Linked DNA regions of Alligator mississippiensis. The protein of the gene in region 4 purifies or fractionates together with the protein of the main gene of each other region. This does not show direct contact. Links are inferred from orthologs where the notes say so. Each region holds a gene or a part of one and is shown on either strand. Other genes may lie near its edges.

Region 1 (7,006 bases), on a different chromosome or scaffold from region 4:
ATCTCAGGGTACCCTTCGAAGGGTTTTGCATCAGCCTGGGGTGCTATAGCACCCTGGCTGAGAATCATAAAACCATAGATAAGTAGGGCTGGAAGGGACCTCCAGAGATCATCTACTCCAGTGGTTCTCAACCTTTTTTGTACCAGGATCCATTTGTAAACACTGATGGCCAGTCCTGACCCAGTGCCCCTCACTCTTGACCTGCAGTGTGCAGGGCAGGGGGTGGGTATGTGGGACAGAGGGGGCCCCAAGCATGCCCTTGCAGGCTGGAACCCTGACAGCCTGCAAGGAAAAAGCTACAGCTTCTCATATTTTTTTCTTTAAAGGAGAATCCATTTTTACAGGTTGTTCACAACCCTCCCTTTCATATATTCTAGCGACCCACAGATTGAGAAACGGTGATTTAGCCCAACCCCTGGAATCAATGCACTACAATTTTATCCAAACAAACCTATGAGTTCTGAACCTTCAGTTCTGCCCATACTTCTCAATATTTTACCAGTGTTTTAGATTCAGTGCTGTAGGGTCTACTGAACCGCATGTTCTTCCCATCTTCCAGAATGGAATTCAACACCTCACTCTGCTTACTGGTAACAGTAAAACCATTCTAAGTCATGTTCTTTAGGACCTGTACACAAGCTAACCCAGTTTAGCCAACTTATGTGACTGGTACCCAAAGAATTTAATTAAAACTAGATTTTAAAAGTTATAGCCTGTCTCTAGCAACAGCTGTAAGTCCTGGTTTTGCTGTGCAAATCTTAACTCTATACAATGCAATGAACCCATTTTAAACATAGCTTCTGTAATCAGTTCTCTTTTGAGAGTACATTGGTTTTTGTGACAGAAAAAAACACAACTAAACTCTCCTACTTGGAGAAGCAATACTACCACCAGCTTTTATTATTCTCTACAGAATGAAGAAGATAGCAATGTTTAAACTTACTGGAAGTAATCTGCATTGCAAATTTTTGAATTTGCTGTTTCCACAGTCACAGCAGAAGTTTCTGGAAAAAAAAAAATATAGCAGTTCAGATATTTTTTTAAATGTCTCAAAATGATTTTATTTTTATATTTTTAAGGGCTTCCCACTGCCAGCTGAGAACTAGAACATACTCTCATAAGCTAATTCACAATATCATCTTTTAGAACTGATCAAAGTCCAGCAGCATTACTCCCTCATGCTAACAGCCTGTCAGATTTCAGTATCATTGTCAAGTAGAATCACTATTCAATTGGGATACTCTTCCGGCCCATGTAATTATTGCTGCCGAGAATACTCTTAGGCTTATGGGTAAGCATATGTGTTTGAAAGACAGCGACTGTGAGTTGACTTGAACCTGGAGGGGATCTGGGACAAAAGCACGATAAACCAATGTAACCTAAATCACTTAACTGGTTTATCTTAAACCAGTTCTGGCCATTTTGAATGTGGTTTATGTGCACTGAACTTCTGCTGTTACAGATTTAAACCGGTTTGTGTGTCATTTCTGTCCCTAGACTTACAGGTATACGCCATCTTCAATATTGCATTTTACTGCTTCGTGATGTAAATGGAAGTACCTCAGAAATGGCCCCAATAGTGCTTTACCTTTTTGTATACAATTCAAACAGCTTGTGTGTTCCATGACACTCATAACTGCAGGCTAAGCATATCCCTGCCGGTTCTTCTCCTGGCGGAGTACAAGTACTGCAAGCATATAAAGCTTGTCTCTTTACAGCACCCTACAAAGAAACAACAGATATAAAAAGAGAGAGAGGCACAGAAATAATCTGAAAAAGGTCATTTGCTGTTTGACTGAAGTAGTAAATGCAGTTTGTCATAAGCAAAAAGCAAGTTAATGCTGATGTGCAAGCTAGCACCAGAGGTTCAGAGAGAATCAGTATTTATTTGGCAGTATCTTTTACTAAATTAACCGTAAAGTGGGGAAAGATGTTAGACAAGCTTTTGTGCACAAAGTGCCTGTCTTCAATTCTGGGCAAACAGCAGGTACGTACAGCCTGAAGTAAACACCAGGTAAAACAAGAATCTTTTTCATTTACACAATGGAGTTAAACAACAGCACTTAATAAGTAGAGAGGTAATTAGCATCTGACAAAGTAGACTGCTGCCAATGAAGGCTCATGCCTCTTTAAAAGAGTTGGTCTCTACAGTGCCACCCTGCCCTGCTGATGAGACTTAAAGGAAGGGAAGACAGCAGTAAGCCTGTGGCATTAAAGGAAGCCATCAAAAGCAGCTACAAACCAAGAAAAAGGCAGCTGAAATAAACCTATAAATATATAGATTTGTTTATTTAGATTCACCATTTATTTTCACCACAATAATACCAGGCAAAAGGGGGGAGACTAACGGGGAGCAAATAAATCATAAGCTGTAAAACTACTGTCTGCGTTCAGTCCATAGTTTTAGTGTCCCATAAAACCCTGTGCCTGAAAGCTTACTGAATCTCAATAAAAAATATTGCAAAACAAACCTTGTTTCTCTCATTCTCTGAAGAGAATCCCAGCTCAAACGCTAGAACCTTGCTACAAAACAGAATGACAGCATTCACAGTGCAAATGCACCCCGTTTAACTGCACAGTGTTGGGACTGATAAAAGGGTCCGTATTTACCCCCATCTCAATGTCGATAATTACTCATTAATTACAGGAGCAAGTGAGCTAAACTTTTTGCACCTCAAAAAGGTTTCTTATCTTGTTTCTCAAAACACCTTATAAACAAACAGCCTTAAAATTGGCAGGGCCTAGTAGGCTTGAGCTTGCCTTAGAAGCCTCGAAATGGACAGCTCCCAGCCAGCTTCGATCATGCAGTTAAACCCTGTGCAACTAACTTACAAAGCAGAGGATTCCCATGCACTTAAGCAGCTAATGCTTTTAACGAATACGTGAATAGCTGATGATCGTTTCAATGTAAGTAACAGGTAATAAACTGGGACTGACCCTGCGCTTCACAATTAAGCTAATTATGCACTTACGTGATATGCACACCCATACAGGATGCTTGAAAACTTTATGAATAATATCTCATAGTCCCAAGGGCTGACCTCCAAGGCACTCTTCAAAAACACTGCTTACTAAAGCCTCCCTGGCAGGTCGACCCTTTTTTGCAGGCAGGCCTCAAAATAGCTCAGCCACTTCCTCAAGTGCCACTTTAATCCTCTTCCCCTGCCCAATTTTTCTGATCCCAGCCCCAGCCCCAACCCCTGCATGGCCTTCTGCTCCCTGCCCTGCCTGCCACGGCGCTGCCCGTCCCCTCCCTGATCTGTCACGGGGGCTGCTAGGGCCTGTGCTGCAGGCTGGCCACCCCAATCTACCAGCTGCACCTCTTCCCTTGCCTCGGCCTAGCTTCACACTGCCCCAGCTCACAACCTCTCTCTCTGCTCTTTAAAGATGTGAGGTGGGGCTGTGGCATGTCAAGTTCTGCCACAAGCTACACGACACCCACTGACCAGCCTGGCGGTCACCTCTCCCTCTTCAGGGAGGAGGAAAAGCAGGGGAAGACCAGGGCCGTGGGCCCCACACGCCCCTGTCCCTGCCTCCTGCACCCCGGTTCTCTCCACCTGGCCACCACACCCAGGGGATGGCTCCCCAGCCGTCAGCCCTCCACAGGGACCCCAGGGGCCAACAATCCTGCCTGTGAGCCCTGGCCGGGCGCGTGTGAGCAGGGGGGGGGGGGGCAGAGCTCAACATCGGGGCACTGGGGGGGGACTCCCCTCCAACCCTCTCCCTACCCCGCCCCCCAGCACAGGCCCCTTCCCCGGGCACAGGCCCCGCCCCGTTACTATCCACCTGCCCCCGCTCCGCCCCCTCACCTGCGAGTAGCTGCAGCGCTCGTGGTCGCTCCCGCCCAGCACCGCGCGCGCCTCCTTCTCCAGCTCCTCGTTCTCCGCCAGCACCTCGGCCAGGGACACCACGGGCTCGTCCGGGGCACCCGCGCAGCCGCTGCCACCGCCGGAATCCGCGCCCCCCGCCGCTGCCGCCGCCTCCTCCATCGTTGGACCCGAGCGCGCAAGGCGGGAAACGCCGAACCACCGCCAGGGGGCGCCGCGGCGGAAACGGAACCGCGCACCCGTCACGTGACGCAGCCGGTGGCGGGGACTCGGAATGTGACCCAGGCGGGACGGGAGGGGAGGACACTCTGGGCAACCAGTCACAGAAGGAGAGGGGGCGGGGCTGGCCAATGGGACGCCAGGGGGAGGGGCGCGGCATGTGACGCGAGGGGGTAGGCCAGCCTCCGCCACGTGACCGAGGAGGGGTGGTGCGCGGGGCTTGGCTGCCGGAGGACGAGCAGTTTGACGGCCGTTGGACCTAGGCGTGGGCCTGCCAGTGATGACGCCTTCCGGGGGAGCGCAGTTCGGGCGCTGATTGGCTACGGGCGGTGCCGCTCCAGGCCGGTCCGCGAGGGGGAGGGGGTATGGAGCTGCGCGCGGAGCTGACGGGGCGCGACGGACTGAGGCAGCCGCTGCGGGTGCGCTGCGAGCCCGAGCCCGGCGTCGGGGCGGGCGGGGAGCTCCGCGCGCTACGCCGGGGCCTGGCCCAGCTGCAGGAGCAAGTCGCGGCGCTGCTCGGGCCCCTGGTGCAGCAGGAGAGCGGCGCCGGCCCCCGCGGGGGCGCCCAGGGTGAGCGGGGGGGGCGCGGCTCGCGCGTTCGGGGCACGGGGGCTGAGGAACAGCGCAGTGTCTGCTCGCGGCCCTGGCGCTCGGTGCGTGCGGGAGCGCCTGGTTCACCGCGTCCTAAATGTAACGTGTGCCGGAACCCGGAGCGGAGCGGGTCCCTGCTGGGCAGGTGGTGGAAGGGCCAGAGCCCAGGCAGCTTGTCCAGGGAGCGTAGGGGGGCTCCCACCACTGTACCCACACCAGCTGAGGCCCCAGGTGGCACATGCTTCCTGCATCTGCGCGCAGCGGAGGCAGCTGTCGTTGTGGGCTGGGCTTTGAGGGAGTGGGCAGGGGAAGGCCCTGAACAGCCAGGGCACAGGATGGAGCAGTAAGTGGCTTGTCTGGGGGTGGGGGGACACAGCCTAGGAGGGAATGGGAGGCATATGCAGGGGACAAGCAGGAGCTGGGGGGACAAGCAGAGGCCCGGAGGGCACATGCCCTGGCCCAGCCAGGGCCCTACTTCCCCCAACCCCTGCTCCTGTCTGTGCCCTGGTCCCTCCCTCGCTGCGGGGGGCCTTGATCTGCCCCTTCCCCCACAGACTTACCTGATGAAGAGCCACAGCCCCAAATCATTTTTTCTCTCTCTGCCTCAATCTGTTCCTCCCCTTCCTTCCCCATAGATTGACCTGTGGGGGGAGAGGGTGGCACATGGTAGATCTTGAGTTGTTTTTTAGTTCAAAAAGTGATCTCCTACTTAAAAAGGTTGGAAACCACTGTTAGAGGATGGTTTCAGGTTGGATGGAAGGAAGAACTTGTTTACGGTAAGGGTCACCAGAATCTGGAGTAGACTTCCCAAGAAGGTGGTGCAGTCCCCAACCTTGGAAGTCTTCAAGAGGAGATGGGACAGACACCTTGCTGGGATCATTTGATCTCAGCAGTACTCCTGCCCAGAATAGGGGGTTGGACTTGGTAATCTTTTGAGGTCCCTTGCAGCCCTTTATTTCTATGAGAAAAACCCAGAGGTTGCTAATAGGACTCCATGGTGCTAGAAACCTGACCTGCTGTGGTCTTTTTGAGTACTTTGTAATAGGATAATTTGCTCTAGTGTTTTTCTGTAGTCTAGTGCAAACTAAGACCTGCCAGTTTCCGAGGGGTGCCTTGGGTCTAAAAAGATTTGAGAACAGCTGATTTAGAGACTCTCCGTCTTCAGAGCCCTCTGGTTCCCTCACCTCAAAACATGGATTTGCAAACACTTCTTCTGTTACTAACCTATGTATTGTAACCTTTTACAAGGTGATGTTGGGGAAGAGGAAGAGGATGAAGATGAGGACCAGGAAGAAAACAATGTTGACAAAACACATTCAGATGAGCCACCCTTAAAACGGACAAAAATTCAGCACTCCTGACTGTTGCCTTAAAGACTCCTTAGCATTTTAGAAAAAGACCCAACAGTTCTATCAAATGTATGTTTAACTGGACAGTCTTACTTCCGGGGAAAAAATGGAATATTTTTGGAAGCCAGGTATCCGCATTTCTGTTCTAAAATACAACCAAGCTGAAGAGAAATACCATTTTGTTTTTCTAGTATTTAATTTTAATAAATAATCTGACAAAAGAAATAAGGGTGGCTTGTTTTGGGTTTTTTAAATATTTTTAGGTAGATGAAAATTATTATTTTAATGTTGGAGAGAAGAGAACATGGAACGTAAATGTCAAGAGGAGCTTCTGGCAAAGACATTGTACACAAACAGTTGTATGTTTTGGATACTCCCTGAGCATAAAACAGTCTAGAGCTGTTAAAGGAACTACTCCCAAGCTCTGTATTTATTTGTATCACTTTTAAAATTGACAAACTTGGAAGAAAAAAAAGACAGTTTATGTACTTGAAATGGTAGAAACAATAAGCTAACAATTACCTGTGAAGAAGTTGTTAGAGATGTATATAAAATAATTTGAGGATTCTAGACTGGCTTAAATACATAAGCAAGGAAATAATTTAAAAAAAATTGCTTTAAAAAAGCCTACAAGACAGGAAGTCACTGGTGTTCAGGTATGAGGTATGTTTGTGTTTGGCAGTTGATTTGACAAGATACACGGACGTCTTCGATCAGGACTTTGCCCTCTACCACAGTTCAAATGCTAATTGTGAAATGTTGACATGATTTGCAGTGGATCTTTTTAAATAAGTTTGGTTTAAACCAGAATACATAAGAAACGCAAGAGTATGGTTTTACTTATGTAATGCCAACTTCAGTGACTTGGACGAGGGAGTCAAATGTACTCTGTCCAAGTTTGCAGATGACACAAAACTATGGGGAGAAGTGGACACGCCGGAAGGCAGGGAACAGCTGCAGGCAGACCTGGATAGGTTGGACAAGTGGGCAGAAAACAACAGGATGCAGTTCAACAAGGAG
Region 2 (7,469 bases), on a different chromosome or scaffold from region 4:
GGTCAGTGAGTGAAGGGAATGACGGTTGTGGCCGTCTTGAAACCAGCTTGCCTCCCACTGGAAGGCTGGTCCCAAAGCCTCGCTGCTTCAACTGGTAATTTCCCATCCATGTTTATTCCTGGTCAGTTCAACCCCAATTATCACCAAGACAAGAGCTCTTCTCCCTCTTGGGTGTTAACTAGATCTCCCTCTTAGCCTTTGTTTTACCAGGTAAAACCAGCCGTGCTCTTCTTGCATCTTTCCATCCCCTAACCCTCTCAGCAGCCCTTCTTTGCACGTACTCTAAATCACAGTTATTAGCTTTGTATGTGGGTGACCACAACTACACACCAGAGCCCTGATGATGTCTCACCAAGGGACCATGCAATAAACAGCACTGATATTTCCCTGTCTTTGCTGGAAGTATCTTGCATGCCACCCTCATCCCATACCTTTGTGTAATCCAGGAATCCTCCAGCGTGGTCACCTGTCCTGAACGAAACATCTCCCAGCCAGCCTGAGCAATCATGGCCCCGTTATCAATACAGAACCTGGGTGAGATGAGAGGCGAGAGCTCCTAGAGGCAGCAGAGAGTGGGGTCGAAAGGGCTGGAGAAGGATCAGAAGGCAACGCTCCTGGGCTCAACCCCAGCTATGGGAAGGGAGTACAGCCTACAGTTACACAGGAAGGGAGGAGTGGTGCAATCTGAAGGCCTAGATTCCCAGGTTTCATCACTGGCTCTAGATGTGGGGGACAGGTAAGGACCCCAAAGCCCTCATAACTTTGAGGGCCTTCCTCGTTTCCAGCTGAACAGGGCAGACTTCACTCTTGCCAAAAAGCTGTGTGTCAGCCTGATGGGAACCCTGAACCACAGAGCTTGCTCACTGTGGTGTGGCACATGCTAGGGCCTGCCTCTGCTCACTGCTGGTCTTTACCTCTCATCTGTTGCAAACAGCTTGGCCCCTCTCTCTTCACACATGATCCCCATCATCTCCTGCAGCCGCAGGTTACCTGGTGGGGAGAGAGGGCAGGGTTAGAGTCCAGCCGGGTCAAGGTTCCTGTGTAAAATCACTGGCCACAAGTGACACAAGTCAGAGTGACTTCAGCTCCATTCAAATGGGCAGCCTGGTGCCACCGGTGGCAAGTGCCCTCCCAATCATAGCCTATTTCCAGGTCCCCTCACCCCCATATGTGGATGACATGGTACATGACAGATCCAGTAATGCATCCTGGGTAGCTAAGAGACCCCTGTAAAATGGCAGGCGGAGAGGGGTACGACAGCAACTGAAAACTGTTGCTGGGGACAAAGCAATTCTGGGGTTCATGCGGAGATCTGTTCATGGGGCAGGTGCTTAGCTGCAGGTTATGTGCGCAGAAGGGAATTTGGCATCACCGCGCCCAGGGTGCTCTGTGCTGGGGATCGAGAGGGTGCAGTCTGGAAGGGATTCTTGGGAAGACAGCAAACTGGGGGGCTTGACTGCCGTAGGAGCAAGCAGGACTGGGGGAGGGAGGTAGATCTCCAGCTGTGCGATGCATCCTCACCCCCACAGGTACCTACAGCCAACGCCGCCCACAATGAGCACCTCCTGGGAGCCGCAGTGCGCCATGGCCCGCTCCGTGATCTCCACCAGCATCGCAAACACCGTCTCCTGGGGTGAGGGATACGATGTACGCATCTTCAACACTGCCCCTCACTACGCTCCAGCAGCTCCCCGCCGGCCCAGGCTCCCTCCTCCGCTTCCCAGCCCCGGCACTGCCTCCCATTCCTGCTGGGATCGACAGGACATGACAGTGCCCTTTGCTCCTGACCCACAGTCACTGCTAGCCCGGCTCTGGGCTCTCTTTCCCCTGACCCACAGCCCTCATTTGGGCAGGGCAGCTTCTCACCTGGAGGGAGAAGCAGAGGTCCTCAGGGGTGCACTCTCCTGATGCCAGCATCTTATGAGACACTTCCTGCAGGGGCAGAGAGAGGGAGTGAGGCCTGCTGCATCCTATCCCCCAGATCTGGACGGGCAGTGGGATCTAGTGGTTTGGAGCCAGGACTCATGGGTTCTTCACCTCTATGTGGGATAGGATCCCTGAGAACGACACATCCATCCCCTTCACCGTGTAGGGCAGCTCCACCAGCTTCTGACCTCTGTGGAGAGAGGAGACCGTCTTACTGCCCTCCTGATGATCTTCCGAGGTCCCTTCCAGCCCTAATGTCTATGAAATCTATGAAACGCTGGGGGAATCTCAGCTCCCGGCCTCCCCTGCTCTACCCCACCGTAACCCCCTCCGCCAGCGTCTCTCGGCAGCTGCGGGGAGGCTCCCAGCTGCTGGGCCTTGCCCCCCACCTGGTCCAATCCACCAGGCCTCGTGCCTTGCCACTCACTTTTTTGCCATCTGCTCGATGTTGTAGCCAGGACTGGGGTCATTGGAGATCTAAAACAGACAGCAAAGAAGGGATAAGTTTGCCGATGGGACTGCAGTTAAGTCAATGGCCCTCCTTGCTTCTTCCCACCCGTCCATAAGTAACCTCTGCACTATCCTCTTCGCCCTCGGCCTTTGTTAGTATCCCCCAAAAACTCACAGGAGCAGGAAGCGGGGCATTTACATTAACACACGGGCGTCAAATACACGGCCCTGGATCTGAATCGAGGTTCGGCAAGCCGTCGAGGGCCGCAGGGGGCGGATAAATATGACTTTTCTAACTGGTTTAGGGGCCCTTCTCGCCTTGAGCACGCGGGCGAAGCGGTCCAGGCAGTTGCCCACGGCGATGTCGATGGTCTCCCCGAAGATGCGGTAGCGGCGCTGCGAGTACGCGATGACCTGGGGGCGGGCGGAGACGTCGGTGAGGACGGCGCACGGGTGCTGTTGTGCCGGGGAGGAGGGGGAGGGGGTGTACCGTACCTGCGTGTTGCCGCCGCTGACGTAGAGCACGGTGGGGTCGTGGGCGCCCGTCACCATCCGCCCCATCTCGATGTGGCCCACGCAGTGGTTGACGCCCAGCAGGGGCTTGTCCCACAGCTGCGCCACCGTCCGCGCCACCGCCGCCACCACCGCCAGCGGCGCGCCCATGCCCGGCCCTGCGGCGGGGACGGGGCGACGCATCAGTGTCCGCTCGCCTTGGCACAGCCCAACCCGGGGGCCGCCCCGCCCTACCTTTGGTGAAGGCCACGCAGTCCACGTCGCAGGGGCGCAGGCCGGCCTCGCGCAGCGCCTCGGCCAGCAGCTCCAGCAGGCAGGCGCGGTGGTGGCGCGCGGTGTGGCCGGGCAGGAACCCTGCCATGGGGGCCACAGCGTGTCACATGGGGGTGGGGGGCATGGAGGGGGGGGGTGGGGGAGGGGCGCTCACCTTGCCCCGGGGGCGTGACGTAGGTGCGGCGCGGGTTGCTAAGCACCCGCCCGTCGCGCACCAGGCCGACGCCCACCTTGTTGGCGCTGCCCTCGAGGCCCAGCACCACCGGCATGGCCCACCTCACGTGACGTCACGTCGCGCCCCTGACGTCAAGGCCCCGCCCCCCCGCCGCCGGCCACGTGACCGCCCACGTGCAGGCTCCGGTCTTTGTGCGGCCGCGCGGGCCGAGCTGCAGCGCCGGTGGGAGCCGGGGCGCCGGGGGGAAGCGGGCACGCGATTGGCTGGGGGGGCGGGGAGCGCAGTGCCGCGCGCTGCGATTGGCTGGGGGGCCGCTTGTGCCGGGAGCCGGGCGCGGGGGTTGAGCGGGCCGCGGGGCACGTGCTCGGCGTCCCGGCTCCTCCGGGCACGGGGTGCTGGGGGGGATGGGCCGGGGCCCGGCTGCTCCGCGCGCGGGGCGGCAATTGGCCAGGGAATGGATGTTGGCGCTCGCTGCGCGGTGATTGGCCGGGGAAGGGGGTGCTCTGCGTGTGCCGCGCGGTGATTGGCCGGGGAGCGGGTGCTCTGTGTGTGCTGTGCAGTGATTGGCTGGGGAGCAGGTGTTCTGTGTGTGCTGGGCGTTGATTGGCGGGGGAGCGGGTACTCTGCTAGTGCTCCATAGTGATTGGTGGGGGAGCAGGTGGTCTGTGTGTGCTGGGCAGTGATTGGCCGGGGAGTGGGTACTCAGTGAGTGCTGCGCGGTGATTGGCCAGGGAGCAGGTGCTCTGCGTGCTGCATGGTGATTGGCCGGGGAGCGGGTGCTCTGTGTGTGCTGTGCAGTGATTGGCCGGGGAGCGGGTGTTCTGTGTGTGCTGGGCGTTGATTGGCGGGGGAGCGGGTACTCTGCTAGTGCTCCGTGGTGATTGGCGGGGGAGCGGGTGCTCTGTGTGTGCTGTGCAGTGATTGGCCGGGGAGCGGGTGTTCTGTGTGTGCTGGGCGTTGATTGGCCAGGGAGCGGGTACTCTGCCAGTGCTCTGTGGTGATTGGCGGGGGAACAGGTGGTCTGTGTGTGCTGCACGGTGATTGGCCAGGGAGCAGGTGTTCTGCATGTGCTGTGTGGTGATTGGCCGGGGAGCGGGTGCTCTGCGGTGGTTGGCTGGGGAGCAGAGGGCTTTGGCATTGCAATGGGGGGCTGGCCCGGGCCCCGCTGCCCGTCCAGCCCATGTGGGGTGGGGGAGGAAGCGGGGAGCCGCTAGCAGGAGACGGGGTGGCCACTTCCCCCCTGCTGCCCCCGGACAAGCCTGGGCGCCCGGGTGCATGGTCCCCCGTCCTCCAGCACTCACCGCGCCGCCCCCTCCTCTCCCCAGTGCAGGCTCTCAGCAAGCTCCGTCGGCTCCTGGCGCCGCGGCGTGGCTGCGGGTGGCCCGAGATGCCCAAGCGTGGGAAGAAGCAGGGAGGAGGGGACAGCGGGGAGGAGCCCGAGGTCCCAGGTAAGAGTCCTCCCCGTCCCCCCGTGGCTCCCCGTCCCGTGCTGTGCCGTGCGAGCGCTGGAGCCCCCCGCCCTCTCTCCCCGCAGAGCCCGAGGCGAAGAAGAATAAGAAAGAAGGAGCCAAAGGCGCCAAGGAGAAGGCCGTCGAGGGGCCGATCCTCTACCAGGACCCCCCGGACAAGCTCGCCTCCCCCGGCGGGAAGAGGTACACGCTGAAGGTCACCTCCTGGAACGTGGACGGGCTCCGCGCGTGGTTCAAGAAGAAGGGGCTGGAGGTAAGAGCCGAGACGGGAGAGTCGCGCAGTACATACATTCAAAGTGCAACCGGCCCCAGCTGCAAAGCACTTAGCGCACAAGTAACCGGTGAACCGAGCCGTGCATTTGGCCCCGCTGAAGGTGCAGAGTAATTGCCGTTCAAAATGCATCTATCGAGAGATGGGGCAGGTCGCCCCTTTTCTCCCCTTTAAATTGATTGGACCTCTAGCCGTTCTCAAACTGCCGGCAGAGGTGGGAGGATTTGAATCTAGGATCTCCGTCTTCCAACTATGGTTGCTGGTATCCAGTCAGTGCTTGGAAATACATAACGCTATATAGCTGGTTTCTGTTCGGTTTTAATACGAGCATGGAGCGAGGCCCACAGACGGCAGTGGCGTTGCTTGAGAGCGCTCGGAGCTGCAGCAGCCAAGAACAATTTCCTTTTATGGTGTAGCCTAGTAGCCAGAGCCCTGGTTGGGGTCACGGGACACTGCAGGTCTCTTTCCTGTTTGTGCTGCCTTCAAACTGCCTCCCCTTGGCTCCTCCATTTCCCCTCTCAGGGTAGAAACAGTAACTCGTGTGTGTTTTGGAGACGTGCAGAAGGAGAACTTGGCTTATTAACTTTTATTTTTGGCCCACAACGTTTTGGGGAATAGGATGGTTGGGGGTGCAGTTAAAAACTAGGAATAAATCAGCCTCTCAGTTTATTAAGTTGGTTTTGAATTTACAGTTCAAATATATTCCCTCCCTCCCAAATCTGGTAAACGTTGACTTTTAGACGTTTGGGGCTCTCTCTCGGCCACCCCCTTTCTTGATTTTTGCCACCAGGTTTAATGAACGAGCAGTCATGTCCTGGGTGTGGGGGGGGCAAGTTGCCCCTTTTTTCCCCTCAAATTGATTTGGCCTCTAGACGTTCTTGAACGGCCGGCAGGGGTGGGAGGGATCAATTCTGAATCTTGGATCTCAATCTTCCTGCTGCAGTTGCTGTCCAAAAAATATCATTTTGTTTTTTCCCCCCCAAAAAACCCTTCCAATGTACTTTAGAGCTAACGAGGAGGTGGAGGGGGAGGATATTCCCAGCCGTGCTGCTATCATGCACTATTATACAGGTACAGTCAGGTCAGGTCTTATGCTGGTTAGAAGCTCGCTCTCAACACAGCCTCAACAATATAAGAAACCTGTCTTGAGAGCAAAGGAGATGAGGCTTTCTGCTCCCATGGGGCTGGTTTCAGCGACGCAGCCTTAGCTACAGAGCAATTAAAAGAACACCTAGCACTACAGCAGGAGGATGACACACAGCGAGGCCACAAGAGGGGTAGGGCCTAGTTTGGGAAGGGGCACGGAGTCCGGTGGATTATAACGGGATTGAGGTTTATAGGACAGTCCAGGAGGACGCTTGGGAAGGGGGCCGCAGTAGCAGAGACGGGGAGAGTCTAGGAAATAGGTTTCTGTGTTTTAGATTTAGAGACCTGGGCTGGGGCTGGAAGCCAGGAGTCCTGGCTGCCAGCCCAGCCCAGCCCTGCCCAGCCACCCTGACCAACCCAACCCTTCCCCACAGTGGGTGCGCGAAGAGGGCCCGGATGTGCTGTGCCTACAGGAGACAAAATGTGCAGAGAAGCTGCTGCCCCCTGAGATACGGGACATGCCCGAATACCCACACAAGTACTGGGCCTGCTCTGATGACAAGGAAGGCTATAGCGGGGTGGCCCTGCTCTCCAAGACTGAGCCGCTTAATGTCACCTATGGCATTGGTGAGGACCTCCCCCCGCTTCCATCTCTGACCCTTGACATCCTCTAGCACCCCAGTGCTCCCCTTGGAGCCCACTTGCCATGCGCCATCACCTCTTCTCCCTCACCCTCTGGTTGATTCCCTTTTTATTTATTTATTTATTTATTAATTGCCTTTTCTAGGCATCCTTTTCTCATCTCGGGCAAAAACCATGCTGCCTGCTCCTGTGGCCAGGCCTCCTTGTGCACCTCTTTAAGCTGGTGATTGCTGTCCTTGACCTTTCAGCTGCTTGCAATCTCCGACTTTGACCCTCGTATCTGCATTCCTTTTCTTCAACCTCTGAGCGTGGGACCCATGTCTGCGGTCCCTTAACTTCTCTGCCCCCAGCCTCCAAACGTTTGCCCATCGAACCCTACCTGCTGGTGACCTTTCCATGTGATTTCTGGTACACCGAGCCTTCTCCTCTCGACTTTAGCCTGAACAGCCTTGACTTTTGTCCCTCCTCCCTTTACCCCATGACTGTCCCTTTACTTCCCTCTTAATTGGCTCTCAGATCACTTTCCCCAAGCCTTACATCTTTCCCTTTTACTTTCTGCCTCGGATTCAAGGACCCACCCTGACCATTTGAGCTCAACTCTACCCAGACACCTTTGTGATTGACCTGTGTCCCAACTTCTGACCTTTACCATCCTATGTCCTTT
Region 3 (7,573 bases), on a different chromosome or scaffold from region 4:
GCTGGAGGACAAAAGCAAGCTGATTCAACACAAATGATAAATTATCCAGAACATAAGTATTAGTGCTTGTAAAGTCTACCTGGCAGTACTGCAGGTCCATGACGATTACAACTTTAATAGGTGTATCAAAAATAGTTTGAACAGAGTATTTTTTAGAAAGATGTTGTGCACAGCTCCTATGCCCCTCTCCTCTAGCACAGTGCATGGGGGCAGCAAAGGACCTCATCAGTCCCTAAAGGGAAAAGATCTAGAGATGTCTCTCTATTAAGTCACTCTACAGCAGATCTCAGAATGCATGCTTGTACAGCCATTTGGGCACCCAAGTGAGAGGGAGATGGGTGAAGTGGGGTAGATAATGCCTCTATAGCATGCAGGTTAAATATAATTGTTTTAATTTTCCCCAAACATCAATAATAAAATCTCAATTACTTGAATTAAATCTCTGTCCTCTGACAGTCAGATAACTCCTCTAAGGTTTGATTTGTACATGTGTTCCTAGATGTCAGTGTATAGGCTAACATCTGCTGCTGCTTCCTTTTAAGCTGGCCAGCCTTGGGGAAACTGGCTTATTTTCTGTAATCAAGGGAACTGGCCAGCTGGCTCTAAACTCTGCACTAGGATCACAGGAGACCTACTTCAAAGCCTATTGGTCCAGTCCACTGATTATGTGAAGACATCTCTTGTTTAATGAGACCTCTGAATAATGAAGCATGATTTTCCTTAATTTTAAAACTGCTCCTTTCTGCAAATTTTGTCAAAAGGAGAGTGAATTCGCTTGAGATGTGTGAGAGAGAGTTCCTCAAATCGTTACATCTCTCTTAGTCTCAATGGTTTTGTATAACCTGATTTGTGAGGGTATAATGCAGAATTTTTGTACTGTCCACGTTAGCCTTCTGTGTGATGGCTGAGGAAAGAGATAAGGAAGATTATTACAGGTAATAACTTCAGAACAAGAGTACAGAAGAGAAGCTTAGTTATTATAAAGGTCACTGGCTATAGTGCATTTAAAGAGGGATCTTGCGAAGGCTTACACATATGCTTAACTGTATTGCAGTCTGAGCACAATGATAAGTCTTTGCAAAATCAGGGTCTTGGAGAGATGGGGATAAAAATAGAGGTGAATTTGCAGAGTGTTATTTGTGCCATTTCAGGCATATTCTGCCAGCTTTCATGACTTCAGAGTTGTATTAAAAAAGGAAGTGTGAAGGGAAAAAAACAATAGAATTCTATTTTCCAAGCTGGGGATATCAGCACCAGAGTGGCAGGGGCACAACTAAATCCTCTGCAGTTATTTGAATGCCATAAACAAATAATACATTTAGTCAATAGATTTACTATTATTTTAATACATTTTGGAACTGAAAAGGAAGGAAAGCTAAGACTGTTTTATTGATGTACACTTCAGTGAAGCAAACAAAGTACAATATTTTTACTAGTTGTTTTAAACGTTCTACAGTCACAAATCACCTGTGTGCCAACAGAGTAACCATTCTTGTGCATGTTCCTGGGTAAAGCAAGTCAGCTGTTAATTCTGGATGGGTTTTATTTCCTGGTAATATTTGTTTAAAGGATAAGGAGAATATCAGTTTAGATCCATCATCATTTTTCCCTCAGACAGATCATTCCCAGCAATCTGAAGGGATGCTCTAATTAGTCATTTCAGACAGACAAAAAAGACCAAGAACTGTGGTCCACTGTGCATGTAATCTATTAATGAAAGGTGCAAAGAAGGCAGAGTTGCTCAGTGCTTTTCCTCAGTTTTCACAATAAAAACAAACTGTGACCAAACAGTTAACAAAATATAGACAAAGAAGGGGAAGGACTATAACCATAAGTTAAGAGCACATCTGAAATCTCTTGACAAACCTGAATTAAAGTCATCTGGACCTGACAGAATTTATCCCAGTTTGCTGAAGGAACAAGTTGCAAAAATCTAGTTCTGACAAAAAGATTTGCTAAATCATAACTGACAGGTGAAGTCCCAGAAGGCTAGATACAGGTCAACATACTCCCTCCCAGAAAAGTTGCCAAACTAAATTATAAAACAGTCTATTTTATAAGTACCTAAAGGAAGAAGGGGTGGTTATTAATAGCCAACATAGATTTGTTAAGAACAAATACAGCAAAATCAGTCTGATTTCCTTCTCAGCAGGGAAGGTAATTTGACAGATGGAGGGAATGTAATGGACATAATATATTTAGACTTTAGAAGGGCTTTTAGGTATGGTTGTATATGAAATTTTCATAAGTAGACCATCTAGCCCACATTTAGGTGGGTATAATTGGCTGAATGACTGCAACTTGAGAGTATAAATGGATTAATGTGAGAATGGCAGGAGGTTTCAAGTGGGGTTCCACAGGGATCTGCTGTAGTTTAATATTGTTATCAATTATTTGAAAGTAAGAAAAAGAGTTTCCTGATCAAGTTTGCAGATGACAGAAAACTGAGAAGAGATGCAAACACTTTGGAGGACAGGATTAGAATTAGATTTTGATTGCTTGGAGAACTGGGCAGTAGGCAACAGAATAAAATTCAACAAGGATGAACAAAGTGCTACACCTATGGAAGAAAAAAACAAATGCATAATGGGACATTGGCTGGGTAGTGCCATTGCCGAGACATATCTGGGGATTTTGGTGGATCAGAGACTTGCCATGACTTGGCAATGAGATGCAATCTTCAAAAAAGCATATGTAATTTTGTGCTGCATTACTAGGAATCTAGTACATGTATATATTATTACCAGGAGTATAAAAGACATGCAAAAGAGATCTTACCACTCTATGCAGTGCTGGTTAGGTCTCAACTACTGTATTGTATGCATGGCTCCACAGTTTTAAGGATGTGGAGAAACATGAGAGTATCCAGAAGCAAGTGACAAAGATGATAAAGCAGTTGGCATGCAAGCTGAAAAAAGGTTGAGAGAACTAGGTATGTTTAGTTTGGAAAGAAGAAGATCAAGAGGGGGAGCAGAGGGGAACCTGATAATAGTTTACAAATATTCTAAAAGGCTGCCATAAAAAAGAGGGAGCAACTGTTCTTCCATGCTGCAAAGTATAGGACACACAGCAGTGGACTTCAATTGCAGCAAAGGAGTTCTAAACTAAAACCAAGGAAAAAAACACTTTAAGTGTAAGAACAGTAGGCCGGTGGAAAAAGCTGCTCAGGGAAGCTATGGTATCTCATGCAGTGGAGGTTTTCAGGAGGCTGGATCAGTGGCATAACTAGGGTGGGGTAGGACAACAGCCCCACGTGCCAATGCAGGGTGCCAGGAGCATCACACAGCACTCTGCAGCTGCTGGGTGCTCGACATTGCCCCACGCTCTGGAGCCCAGCATCCTCCCCCGCCCCTCCCCGAGGTGCTGGGCACCATTTCTGCCTAAGATGCCAAAATTGCTGCATAAACCTCTAAGCTGGATGGTCTGGGAATAGCAAATCCTGCATAAGGACAAATGATTGGACTGGATATCTCTTGAGGTCTCTTCCAGTCCATGACTCTAGGAGAATTTTCCAAGTTGGCTTTTTTATTGTTTTTTACATCATAACCACCAATGAGCCCACACTGGAGTCTGTGGTCTCCATCTTAGATGAGGTCAGTCAGTTGCACTTAATCTAAAATAAGGAACTCATCAGGAAATTAGTGTGGACTTCAAATGCTTGTTCCAAGACAGAAATGAGTACCAGAGAAGGAGGGAAAAAGTGGGAAAGAAGCCTTTAAGTTGCTCTGTAAAATATAAAGGAATAAAGGAGTATATAACTATCCATCATCTCAGATTGGGCCCTGCCTGCTCTCCAAGGTATATATATATATGTGCTTTCAGAGGTGGATCCAGGGCTGGGGGGTGCCCTGGCACAATTCTGATTCCCACTCTACCCAGAGATTAAAACCAAGTGCACGGCAGTGGCAGCTGCATGTTTAGTCAGGCAGTGCTGGGGGGTCTGTTGACTTCATGGCTCATTGCAATGCACCTGACACCCTGTAAACCCTTCCCTCCCTCCAGGGTGTTAAGGCCCCTCTGCTCAGCAGCCCCCACGTTCAGCGACCCCGTGCTGGGCAAGGCGCTGTAAGGTAGCGGCTCCTGGGGACGAAGCTCCCATTTCACAGCCTTGCAGGCTGTTTGGAGCTCATACCAGTGAAGTGACATCTGCTTTGGCTTCAGTCTTCAACGGAGTAACAACTCCCGGCCCGCGACAGCTTCTCGTTTACGGGTAACGGGAGCAAAACACACACGGCGTCATCTGCACCCACTTTCCCCGAGCCTCGATCCGCCCACGTCCTCTTTCCGCCGCATTTCACTGTCACCTCTCCGCGCCTATCGCCAATGCTCCAGCTGCCGGCAGTGCGGACTAACCTCCGCACGCCTCCCCTCTCCCTCCTTGCCTTTCTCTGGGGCTACGCAACAGCCAAAGACCCCGCCCCCTCCCGCAGCCTCTCGCCTTTTCCAGAGGCAACATTTTGTCCCTACTCGCTTCCGGTCTGCCGAGACGGCTCCCGGCCAATGGGAGGGCGCGCTTAGCGGCGGAAGAGGCGGGGCGGTGTGGGGTGGCGGGCGCGTGCAGGCATGGAGGATTTGTGCGCCAAATTCGTGTCGCAGAAGCTGAGCAAGGTCCGATGGCGGCCCGTGCCTGCTACTGCGCTGCAGCCGCCAGAGCTCTTCGCCACCGGCTCCTGGGACAACGAGGTGTGGGGGCGGGGCGCGGGCCGCCGGTCCTGGGGTGGGGTCGGGCTGGCGCCTGGGAATGAGGGGACACGGCTGTGACCCTGGCCCTGCTCTGGGGGCAGCCCCGAGCTCCTGTCTTCCTCGGGACACTGCAGCTCCTCGCCTTGTTACAGCCGTGTGGGTGTGCCTGGTCGCCCCCGCGCTTCTCCCGGCTCGCTCCCGTGTGTTTGTGTGCCCTCCTGTTGGGGAGGGGGGTGTATGTGAACGAATCCTCCTATTGTGGGGAGGGTACGGCCCTGTAAGGTGTCCGTGCACCTTCATGGTTATGGCTTTTTCTTCTGGGTAGAAAAGGTTCAGCCTCTTAGTTAATTTACTAAGTAGGTTTGTTGTTAAGAAACATCCATGCACCTCTGCAGGCTGGGGGCTGGCTAGTTGGGCAGCATGTCTGCAGAAAAGGACCCAGGGGTTACAATAAGCTGGATATGAGCTAGCAGTGTGCCATTGTTGGGAAGAAGGCTAACAGCATACTGGGCTGCATTAGTAGGAGTGTTGTTAGCAGATGGAGGGAAATATTTCTTCCCCTGTATTCAGCACTGGTGAGGCCACATCTGGAGTATTCTGTTTAGTTTTGGGCGCCCTACTACAGAAATGGTGTGGACAAATTGGAGAGAGTTCAGACGAGGGCAACAAAAATGGTTATGGGGCTGGCGGACATGACTTCTGTGGAGAGGTTGAGGGAACTGAGTTTATTTAGTTTGAAAAAGAGAAGACTAAGAGGGGATTTGATAGCAGCCTTCAACTACCTGAAGGGTGGTTCCAAAGAGAGTGGAGTTGGACTATTCTCAGTGGTGGCAGATTAGAGCTATGATCAACAGTCTCAAGTTGCACCAAGGGAAATTGTGTTTAGATATTGGGAAGAATTTTCTCACTAGGAGGATAGTAAAGCACTGGAACAGGTTACCCACAGGTGGTGGACTCTTCATCATTAGAGGTTTTTAAGACATGGCTAGACAAAGCCTGGGCTGGGATGAATTTGTTGGGAGTGGTCCTGCTTTGAGCAGGGGGTTGCACTAGATGACCCCTGAGGTCCCTTCCCTCATTTTCTACAGCTCTGTGATTGGTTACTTAAAAAGCCCATTAGAGTGATCCCACAGTTGTTAGCTGCAGCCTCTGCCTCTATTAGCAATTTTCTAGTTTCAGCCTTTCATTCAGTTGGCGATCCCTTTATCATCCTTCTTGTCTCTATACCAGCTTTCCCTACAGAATGTGTTTCTGGCAGAGGAGATCTGGTTTACCCAACTGACTTTTTGTTTTGGTTTGTTTTTTTTTGCTGTCTTGCATGCATAGGAAGCAAAGTCCTACTGGTTCTGAACTGTCAGTCATTGTCAGCTGTTAAAAGCATTTGGATCACAGCAGGTCTTTTAGCCCTCTTTAGTCCCTTTGCTCCTGGTGTTCCTCAGCTTTGTCATTGACTATTAGAGCTCATCCTGGAGTGTTAGCTCGTGATGTCTGATGGTAGTTTTTCTTAATATTGGTCCTTTATTTTTCCTTTTCTTAAACTTGACTCTTGAAAGAGGTTGAAAGCTTTGATGTATTGACAAATTTGTCCAAACCTTTTTCCAATAAACTAGCATCACTAATCTAGTGATGCTTTTTCTCCTACAGGAAAACAAGATTTCCATTTGGTCTGTTGGAGATGCTGAAAGTGTGTGTCCCAATGGGGAATATCAAGGAGAACCACAGTTGTTATGTGATATCAGACACTATGGTGATGTTATGGATATGCAGGTAAAATATTCAGTGTTATTAAAATGATTATAAAAAGAACAAGTGGATGCCAAAATATTGAAAGTCAAATAATTTTTCTGAGGAAGGGGAGGAAATACATTTTTCAAACATTAATTTATGTGTATGCTCTGAAATCTAGACTACTGTAATGCCAAACCTATTTCTGTGTTGTTACATGTTCATAGTAGTAAGCTTAAGTATTTCTTCTTAGTTTTTGGATCAAGAGAGAATTGTAGCTGCTTCATCAACTGGAAGCGTAACTATATTCCGTCACCATCAAAATAACCAGGTAAATAACTTGTTCTGGCTATAAGTTAAACTTTGCTTTTTGCCATTTAAGCTTGTAATGCAAGTTGCTTTAGTGCTTGCGAGGAAAGATTCCTCAGGGGAAAAAAAATAAATCATGAAGTATCTGAAATTCTGAGTACTAAAATTGTGAAGAATTACAAACCACCATTTTTAAAATGAGGAGAATGGTACCATGTCTGTCTGGTTTTTTTTGTGCATATATGGAGCATTTCGTTAATTATCTGATAGACTATTCACCTGGGGGGAAGCATGTGCCACAGATTCTTTTTCTGTACTCATGTCACCAAATATGCTTACAGCTTCAGTGAATGGACTATAAATACATGACTTGATTCAGTTAATGGTGACTATTTCTGATTCTTTCTAATGATGCTTATTTTTTATGAAAGAATACCATCCTCCGTGTGTGTGTTGCCATTTTAATTTAGTTCTTGCTACTGCATAATAAAATGAACACAGAAAGGGTTGTTATTTTGGCAGTTGCTTTTCATTACTGATATTAAGTTAGTTTTTTAAATCAAAATCCAATTGCAGGTTAAATCCTGTGAAGAGACTGGATCCAGGTAAATGACCATCACGGGTCAAAGAAGATTCCCAGCTCATAAAAATAAATGGTGTACTTGGTTACCTGAGGAAGGGGAGGAAATACATTAGGCATTGAATACTACACCTCAGTCCACATTTTTTTTTTTTTCCCTGTTTATATGATAAAACATTGGCTATCTGAATATTGGTTAAAGTGCACAAATTCATAGGAACTCCCCAATGTACTTAGTAATGTAACTGCACTCATTTAACTATGTAATTGAGGACT
Region 4 (6,792 bases):
ACCTAAGCTAGAAGACAGAGCAGTTTAAAAGAACATGTGGTTGTCTAAGTCAGCCACAGCCTCCACTACTGCTACTACAGGTATCGTAGCAGGAGAAAGCTGGTAGAAGAGTTTCTCTAAAGACCCGAGAACTGCGTGTAACAAGCCAGAGTACAATGTAAGAACAGCATTCATATGTCATGATCTGACTTCTCATGCCTTTTTTAGAACAGTGCTTCTCATCTGCACATTGAAGGGCAGAGGAATGGGGATTTTTCTTTTTTTATACAAGGGATGGAAATGTCTTTTTTATGTACTAAGATTTAATTACCACACTCCTGGCTTACAGCAGTGATCTATTAGAAATGGAGAAGGTTGATGTCATTAGAGACTTAGAAAAAAAGTCTCTGCTTTGATCCAGGCAGGCCATTACTGTTTATATATTCCTAGTTCTCAAAAATGTAAATAGTATTCATAGGATAGGATACTGCTTGCTTGTTTGACCACTATCTGAAAGGAAAGTCACAAAATACTTTTTGCTTAACTGGGAATACCTTTAACAAAGTACCCTGGCACCATTTTATTACTGGTTTAAACAGACTATTTGCTGAAGGAAAGACTATTGATTTGAAAATGAAAAGCCAAAGTCTTCAAGCCTGATAATACTAGCATTGAGTGTTGTATTTATTCTATGTAAAGCAGCGAGAAAATGCTACGTGCTTTAGTTCTTTTCTTTGAAAAAGGGAAACATTTCATCCCTTTTCCCCCGTTTATCTGTGTATTCACAGCACCAGTTTTTGACTTAGTTACTTTGACCACATATTAGGTAGCTATACAAAACGAGTCATATTGTATTAAACTGGTTTATTGGACTGAAAGTTACCAAAACAGTGAATACAAGCCACTGGAGACCTTTGCAGAACATGAGAAGTCATTTCCCCACCCTTCCACAAAGTCTGCTTGCTTCTATCCAACCATGGATCTCTTTCTTCCCCTTAGTCGTACTTCATCCAATTTTTTGATCACTGGGCTCGATTTTTTTGACATAGCTGCGTATTTCTTCAACAGAGCTTCAAACAGAGCCTCTGTGTTTGGATGAGTACTAAGAAAGGCTTTCTCCAGGACATACAAATCAACCCCTTTATCCTCAGGTAGGCCAGATATAAAACTCAGTCCAAAGTCTATCAGCACGAGGTCAAGCTTCTCTGCTGGCGGCCGCAAGAGTACGTTGGACGTCGTAAGATCCCCATGTATAAGATCCTCATCGTGCATCCGAGCCAAAACCTCGCCTATCTTCTCTGCTAAGGTAAAGAGGCCGCTAGCATCCTTTTCACGCTGCTGTACAGAAATGATATAATCCCGAACCGTCATCGATCCTACAATATCTTCCAGATAGATACAGTTGGAGACATAATCCACGAAGTATACCACTGGTGCAGAAATGCCTATTTAAAATAAATAAATAAATAAAAAGGATTGATGAGGTGCTAACTTTTAGGGCACAGAAATTCCCGAGCAACTTCCACCCTGCCCAGTCGCACGCAACGAAGATGGAAAAGGGCTCATATTGACCGCGTCAGAGCCCGAGGACCAGGTTAAGGGGTGTGATCTGAGCACGCCCCGACTACAAAGAGGAGTTTTGTCGGGCATCCTTGCAGGATCACCCCTTCCTTTCCCTTCCCCTCCCCTCCCCGGGCGCTGGGCCCGTCCTGCGCGGCGGGAGGCCCCTCAGGCCCGCGGGGAGGGGGCAGGGAGCCGGGCACCAGGTGGAAGCGGGTCCCGCGGCCCGACAGGAGCCTCGCGGGCTGGTGATGGAGACGGGACCCCCCACCTGCGCGGCGGCAGCGCAGCAGAGACCGCGCCTCCTGCGCCGTGCGCCGCCGGCTGAGCCGCTCCTCCAGCGCCGGGTGCCGGTAGCGCTTGGGGAAGCGGAGCTTGGCCACGACGGCGCGGCCCAGGAAGCAGCCGCGGTAGAGCCGCGCCTCGGCGCCCTGCTGCACCAGCCGCGAGCCCGGCAGCGGCACCCTCAACTCCGCCATGGCAGCCGCCCTACTGCGCCTGCGCGCTCCGCACCCCGGGCACGGGCGGGGCGGGGCTTCCGCACCACGTGACGCGCTCGGGACTCTTCGGCTGCCGAAAAGAGCCGAGCGTGAGGTGGGGGGCCGGGAGGAGCTCGTGCGCCCCCAGTGTCGGCGCGGCGGGGCGCAGCTCCGCCCTGCTCGGGCTCGACTCGTTCGGCTGTGGCAGGTGATGTTTGCACGGGAGCAGCGGAGACACCTTTCCTGCTCCGTGCGGGGGGCTGGACGCGATGATTTCCCTAGGTCCCTCCCGGCCTTACAGTCTAGGAATCTATGAAAACCGGTTAATGTGTTATAGCATCCTCTGTCCCGGCACCTGCAGCTGAATTGGCACCGCAGGCACGGACACCCGTCATGACGCTACCAGGGTGCGTGTTATGTTCCTCATCGCGAGACGCAGCCTGTACAAGAGATTCAGTTCACTCCACGTAAATCATTAGATTGTTGCCTTCCACTAGATTGGTGCCTCAAGCCCATTTTCCCCTAGCTTCTCTTCCAAACCATTTTTCTTTGGAAGCCCCCCCCCCTGTGCTGGCTGGGTCACACATGGCTAATAAGGGATGGCCGGTGGCTCCCGCCGCTTGCCCCAGGGAGAAGTGTCAGGTCGGCCTCCTCTGCCAGCCACTGCATTTTCCTCTGGCTGTGGCCAATGCAGAGCATGGACCAGTGGCCAAGGTGCTCACTAGACTGCACCACGGCTCAGCTCTCAAATGTTTGTTTGCCAAAACCCGGCTGCCAAAGTTGCAGCTGTGCCCACGTCTCCCAGCGCAGTCCCAGGGCCTTGACTGAGCCCCCCCCCCCGAGAAATGCTGGAGCCCCGGGCTTGGGCATTAAGCCTGTGCGAGTCGGCAGCTATTCAATCCGGCTTCGGATCCGGCCACTTCGGATACCAGCGATCTGATACAGAGCTCCGGACCGGGTTTCTGCTTTGATCCAGCCGAAGCGGCTCCGAAGGGCCATAGGGTATAATGAATCAATGAAATATCTATAACGTTGTTGTTTTTTGTCTGATTTGGATGAAACTCGAAGGGATGGTAGCCTCTGCTGAGAGCTTGAAGTCTGCCCAGTTTCAAGAAGATCGGTGCAAGAGTTTGGGAGGAACTGTACCCCAAATTCTTGAAAGCAAAACTCATGTCACGTCTATGTGTTACACCACAGTGGGGTGAAAACTGCAGGGGTGGTGGCCCCTGCTGATGCCACAAAGCCTGCCAAGTTTCAAGAAGATTGGTGCAGGGGTTTGGGGGAAGCTGCACCTCAAGCTGCGGACAAGCAAAACTCGTGACATGAGTGACACTGCGTGTGTTAAGGCGCAGCGGGGTGAAAGCTGCAGGGATGGTGGCCCCTGTTGCAGCTGCAAAGCCTGCCAGGTGTCGAGGAGATCGGTGCAGGGGTTTGGGGCTCTGGGGCCCTGCACCCCTAGCTGCTGACAGGTAACACTCATGACATGGGTGCTTGTGGGAATGGCTGTCTCTGTCTTGGGGCAGTTGATTGTCTGTATTGATTATTTCCTCTCCTTGGTCTGTCTGTGGTTTTGTAGGTGTTAATTGTTGCTAATAAACTGCTTACATTAGCTAGCAACTGTGTATTGAGCTGGTCCCTGATTGATTGGTAACTGGTAACACAGCAGCTTAACAGCCAGGCCTGCACTAGTCATTTCCTGACCCCCGACTCCCCCCCCTTGCCCCCCCCCCTCCACGGCAGACACAGCTGGCTCAAGAATTGGACTCAAGACCCATGGTAGAAATCGTTCTTGAATTGATGACAATCTGGCCTGTTAGCAGTAGTATGCGATACTGGCATGGGGTGCCCTGAGTATCCGGGGCACAAAATGTACCACACAAAGCTTCCCTGGTAGTATACAGGCCTTTAGACCACGTGGAGCAACGCTGAAGTCAATGAAAATCTCTGCCATCAGATCAGTCTGACTGTGATCAGTCGACTTCAGCATTAGGGTCTAAGTTAGATATGACCCTCCTTCCTACTGGGAAAGATGGTATCAGGATTAATAAGCACAGCCGAAGTTACACAAATGTTTGTTTTGGAATACCTTGTCTAATCTCAGCTTGTCCAAACTCTCATTTACTTAGTAAAGTCCTAAAGTTCTGCTATTGCAAATGGCCAAAAAGTGTTGCTGTCTTGTCTGAGCTGAGCACCTCAACACCTATAACATGCCTCAGCATCCTAAATCATTCCTCTGTCTGAGATCCTCACACTAGGTGTCTCTGAACCTCCTCCGAAGAGCCTAATCCCTATTGAAGCACACCTGACATGCTGCCAGCCCAAAGCACAGCAGCCACAGCCATTTTTACTCAAAAACAGCGGAGGGTGGTGTGCTGTCTCCTTTTATAATATGACTATATGGCACAAGAGACACCCCACACTAGCTCTGCATGTGCCAGCTCTAGAACCAAGACTAGCATAATGTCATTAGTGCAGCACAGTGGCCACACTAATATGCCCTGCTCCTCAGCAGAGATAGTGTCCACGCAGGGAGTTAGTGAAGTGCACTGTAAATTCACACCCTACCTCACTACACACTAGTATCCCTATGTACACAAGCTCTATGCATCGTGTGGCAGTGGAAGATGAAGAGAGGGTTCAGAGGTATGACATGACTCATTTATCTTTTGCAGATGATGTTTGAATTGGAAGAGTGGAGACAACCACTTAATTTGTTATAGCATCCACTGTCCCAATACCTAGAGCTGAATTTTCACCACGCACACTGAAACCCATTACTCTAGCAGGGTTGTGTGTTATGGTCTTCATGAGACACAGTCTATACAAGAGATTCAGTTCTAATTAGATTGTTGCCCTTGGAGTTGCCTCAAGTCCATTTTGTCCTTGTTTTCCCATCCATAACATTTGTTTCTCTTCCAAATCTTTTTTTATTTTATTAATACATTCCATACAGCTTACTTGTGCATCATGTGGTGGGACTTTGCTTAGCAAATATTTACATTGTTTCAGTAACAGCTTTTTAATAACACTCTGAAGGCTTAAATGATAAAAGAACTCTACCCTGTGGTTCTTCCACCTCTTATTTTGGCCTCAAGCCTGTTGGTCTCAGCTAGGCAGCCTACACAGGATGCTCTAGCACTTAAGAAAAAAAATGCACTTGTATCTACATGTTTCAAATTTGCAAATATCATTAAAAATGAACTCAAAGTTTTCATACAAGTGCAGGCAGAGTTTATACACAAATGCATCTCCATTCAAATGCATGGATACATACAAGCACATACATGAACAAACATACACAAAAGCAAAAGAATCTTTTCATTTGCTTCATTTGGTAAACTAAGATATTTTGTATTCTGCTGACCAAAATCATCTTCCAGAGTTTTCAAAATACTTAGGAGAAAACATTTATAGCTTTATTTTCCCCAGCATATTTATTTAATTATTTATATAAAATCTTATGTTTATTTCTTTTAAAACTTATTTATTCCCCCCATTTTATTTGTTTATTTATTTCACTTATCATTTTCATGTATAATACAATAAATCTTTGATACAGCTCTTATTTTTTACTCTTAATATTTTTACTGGAATGAAAAACAATTTGACTTCAAAATTTCAAAGAATGTGTTTGTTCCCACGGGTGACAAACATCTATTTGAACCCCCCTTTTACAAGTTCTGTAATCAAGTTAAAATCATAGGGCAAGCTAATAGGCCTATGATTACGGACCTACCGAAAACGTGAAATCCGGCATTGTTCACATAAGTAGGCAATGCCTGTAAAATCAGGGGGGAGGGCAGGGAAAATCAAATGCTGGTTCCTCAGACAGAGCCAGCAGTCCTCACAGTGCTGTGGCCCAGCTGCACAGTCCACCATGGGAGAAGAGGGAAGGGAGGGCTACCTGCACAAAGGACAGCCCAAGATGGCTGCTTCCTCTGCCCTCACCCCTGATTGGCTGAGTGGACTGCCCGTCATGTGGTCCTGCCCCTTTTCAACAATCAGCAGTGGGGGGCAGGGCCACTGGGACCCCCATAGCCAATCAGAAGGGGGGGAGCCATCACAATCTGCCCACGAAAATGGTGGCCGGCTCTGCGATTTCCCCACGAAATCAACTGGCCTCCTCCAGTCGGGTAGACCCCTACATATGATATGCTAACAGGCCTATTATAGGCCAAGCTAATAGAAACAGTCTGATCTCATGAAGTACTGAGCACCCTTCCTTCCTATTGACACCCTCACTTCCTATTTATACAGACAACTCTTTTTCCAGGATTTATTTAGGAGCAGGCTGAGGCTGGGATTCTCACACCTGACCACATAGGGGATCAGACAGAAGTGACATTTTTCATGTGACCTGGCGCATTTTTCATGTGACCTGAACGTGCTCTACAGCTGTGGCATATCACATATGCACAGCTGCAGAGCACTTTTAAAAAGGCTATGTGTGAAAAATTAACCCTCATTAAATCAGGTAGTAAATGAAAGTGCTCTAAATTAGAGCTCCTTAGGGAACGTCTATACAGTTCCCTATGAGAGTTAGGTGTCATCCCCCTGGTCTGCCATAGGGAGGAGGCAGAGAGCTCAAGGGGACTCAGCCCCTCCACCCGCGCTGGCTGCCTCTGTGCGGGCAGGGGGCAATTGAGCCAGCAATTGAGGCGGGCCCTGGCTAGATCCACCCCTAGGGAGAGGACCCCCGGTGCCTCCTGACACTGGCTCTGGGGCAGATAACCCCCCAGGTCCCCCCACCCACACTGACAGCTGCCAGGGGGCT

Evidence for each region.
Region 1: the proteins of TP53RK (region 4) and GON7 purify together in Homo sapiens (affinity purification with mass spectrometry; 5 studies listed by BioGRID and IntAct, counting the BioPlex papers as one, with this or other methods). This does not show direct contact. The link is inferred for Alligator mississippiensis from reciprocal best matches to the Homo sapiens genes TP53RK and GON7.
Region 2: the proteins of TP53RK (region 4) and OSGEP purify together in Homo sapiens (affinity purification with mass spectrometry; 5 studies listed by BioGRID and IntAct, counting the BioPlex papers as one, with this or other methods). This does not show direct contact. The link is inferred for Alligator mississippiensis from reciprocal best matches to the Homo sapiens genes TP53RK and OSGEP.
Region 3: the proteins of TP53RK (region 4) and NUP43 purify together in Homo sapiens (affinity purification with mass spectrometry; 3 studies listed by BioGRID and IntAct, counting the BioPlex papers as one, with this or other methods). This does not show direct contact. The link is inferred for Alligator mississippiensis from reciprocal best matches to the Homo sapiens genes TP53RK and NUP43.

Annotation. Positions count from the first base shown.
Region 1 is NC_081825.1:276,407,482-276,414,487, reverse strand, and holds GON7 (EKC/KEOPS complex subunit GON7), read left to right. Parts: upstream 1-4,239; 5' UTR 4,240-4,411; coding exon 4,412-4,616; intron 4,617-5,885; coding exon 5,886-5,998; 3' UTR 5,999-6,021; downstream 6,022-7,006. Other genes in the region: putative E3 ubiquitin-protein ligase UBR7, read right to left, coding at 944-1,004, 1,589-1,722, 3,810-3,989. UniProt on the Homo sapiens protein: Component of the EKC/KEOPS complex that is required for the formation of a threonylcarbamoyl group on adenosine at position 37 (t(6)A37) in tRNAs that read codons beginning with adenine.
Region 2 is NC_081830.1:3,073,747-3,081,215, forward strand, and holds the start of OSGEP (tRNA N6-adenosine threonylcarbamoyltransferase), read right to left. Parts: upstream 3,441-7,469; 5' UTR 3,432-3,440; coding exon 3,317-3,431; intron 3,244-3,316; coding exon 3,124-3,243; intron 3,048-3,123; coding exon 2,872-3,047; intron 2,791-2,871; coding exon 2,695-2,790; intron 2,404-2,694; coding exon 2,354-2,403; intron 2,117-2,353; coding exon 2,038-2,116; intron 1,933-2,037; coding exon 1,867-1,932; intron 1,629-1,866; coding exon 1,538-1,628; coding exon of another isoform or gene 1,522-1,537; intron 991-1,521; coding exon 915-990; exon of another isoform or gene 909-914; intron 557-908; exon of another isoform or gene 531-556; coding exon 432-530; intron 1-431. Other genes in the region: APEX1 (DNA-(apurinic or apyrimidinic site) endonuclease), read left to right, coding at 4,725-4,785, 4,872-5,059, 6,598-6,790. UniProt on the Homo sapiens protein: Component of the EKC/KEOPS complex that is required for the formation of a threonylcarbamoyl group on adenosine at position 37 (t(6)A37) in tRNAs that read codons beginning with adenine.
Region 3 is NC_081824.1:129,004,886-129,012,458, reverse strand, and holds the start of NUP43 (nucleoporin Nup43), read left to right. Parts: upstream 1-4,522; 5' UTR 4,523-4,563; coding exon 4,564-4,683; intron 4,684-6,327; coding exon 6,328-6,450; intron 6,451-6,661; coding exon 6,662-6,739; intron 6,740-7,573. UniProt on the Homo sapiens protein: Component of the Nup107-160 subcomplex of the nuclear pore complex (NPC). The Nup107-160 subcomplex is required for the assembly of a functional NPC.
Region 4 is NC_081832.1:15,802,032-15,808,823, reverse strand, and holds TP53RK (EKC/KEOPS complex subunit TP53RK), read right to left. Parts: upstream 2,036-6,792; 5' UTR 2,019-2,035; coding exon 1,811-2,018; intron 1,425-1,810; coding exon 946-1,424; 3' UTR 829-945; downstream 1-828.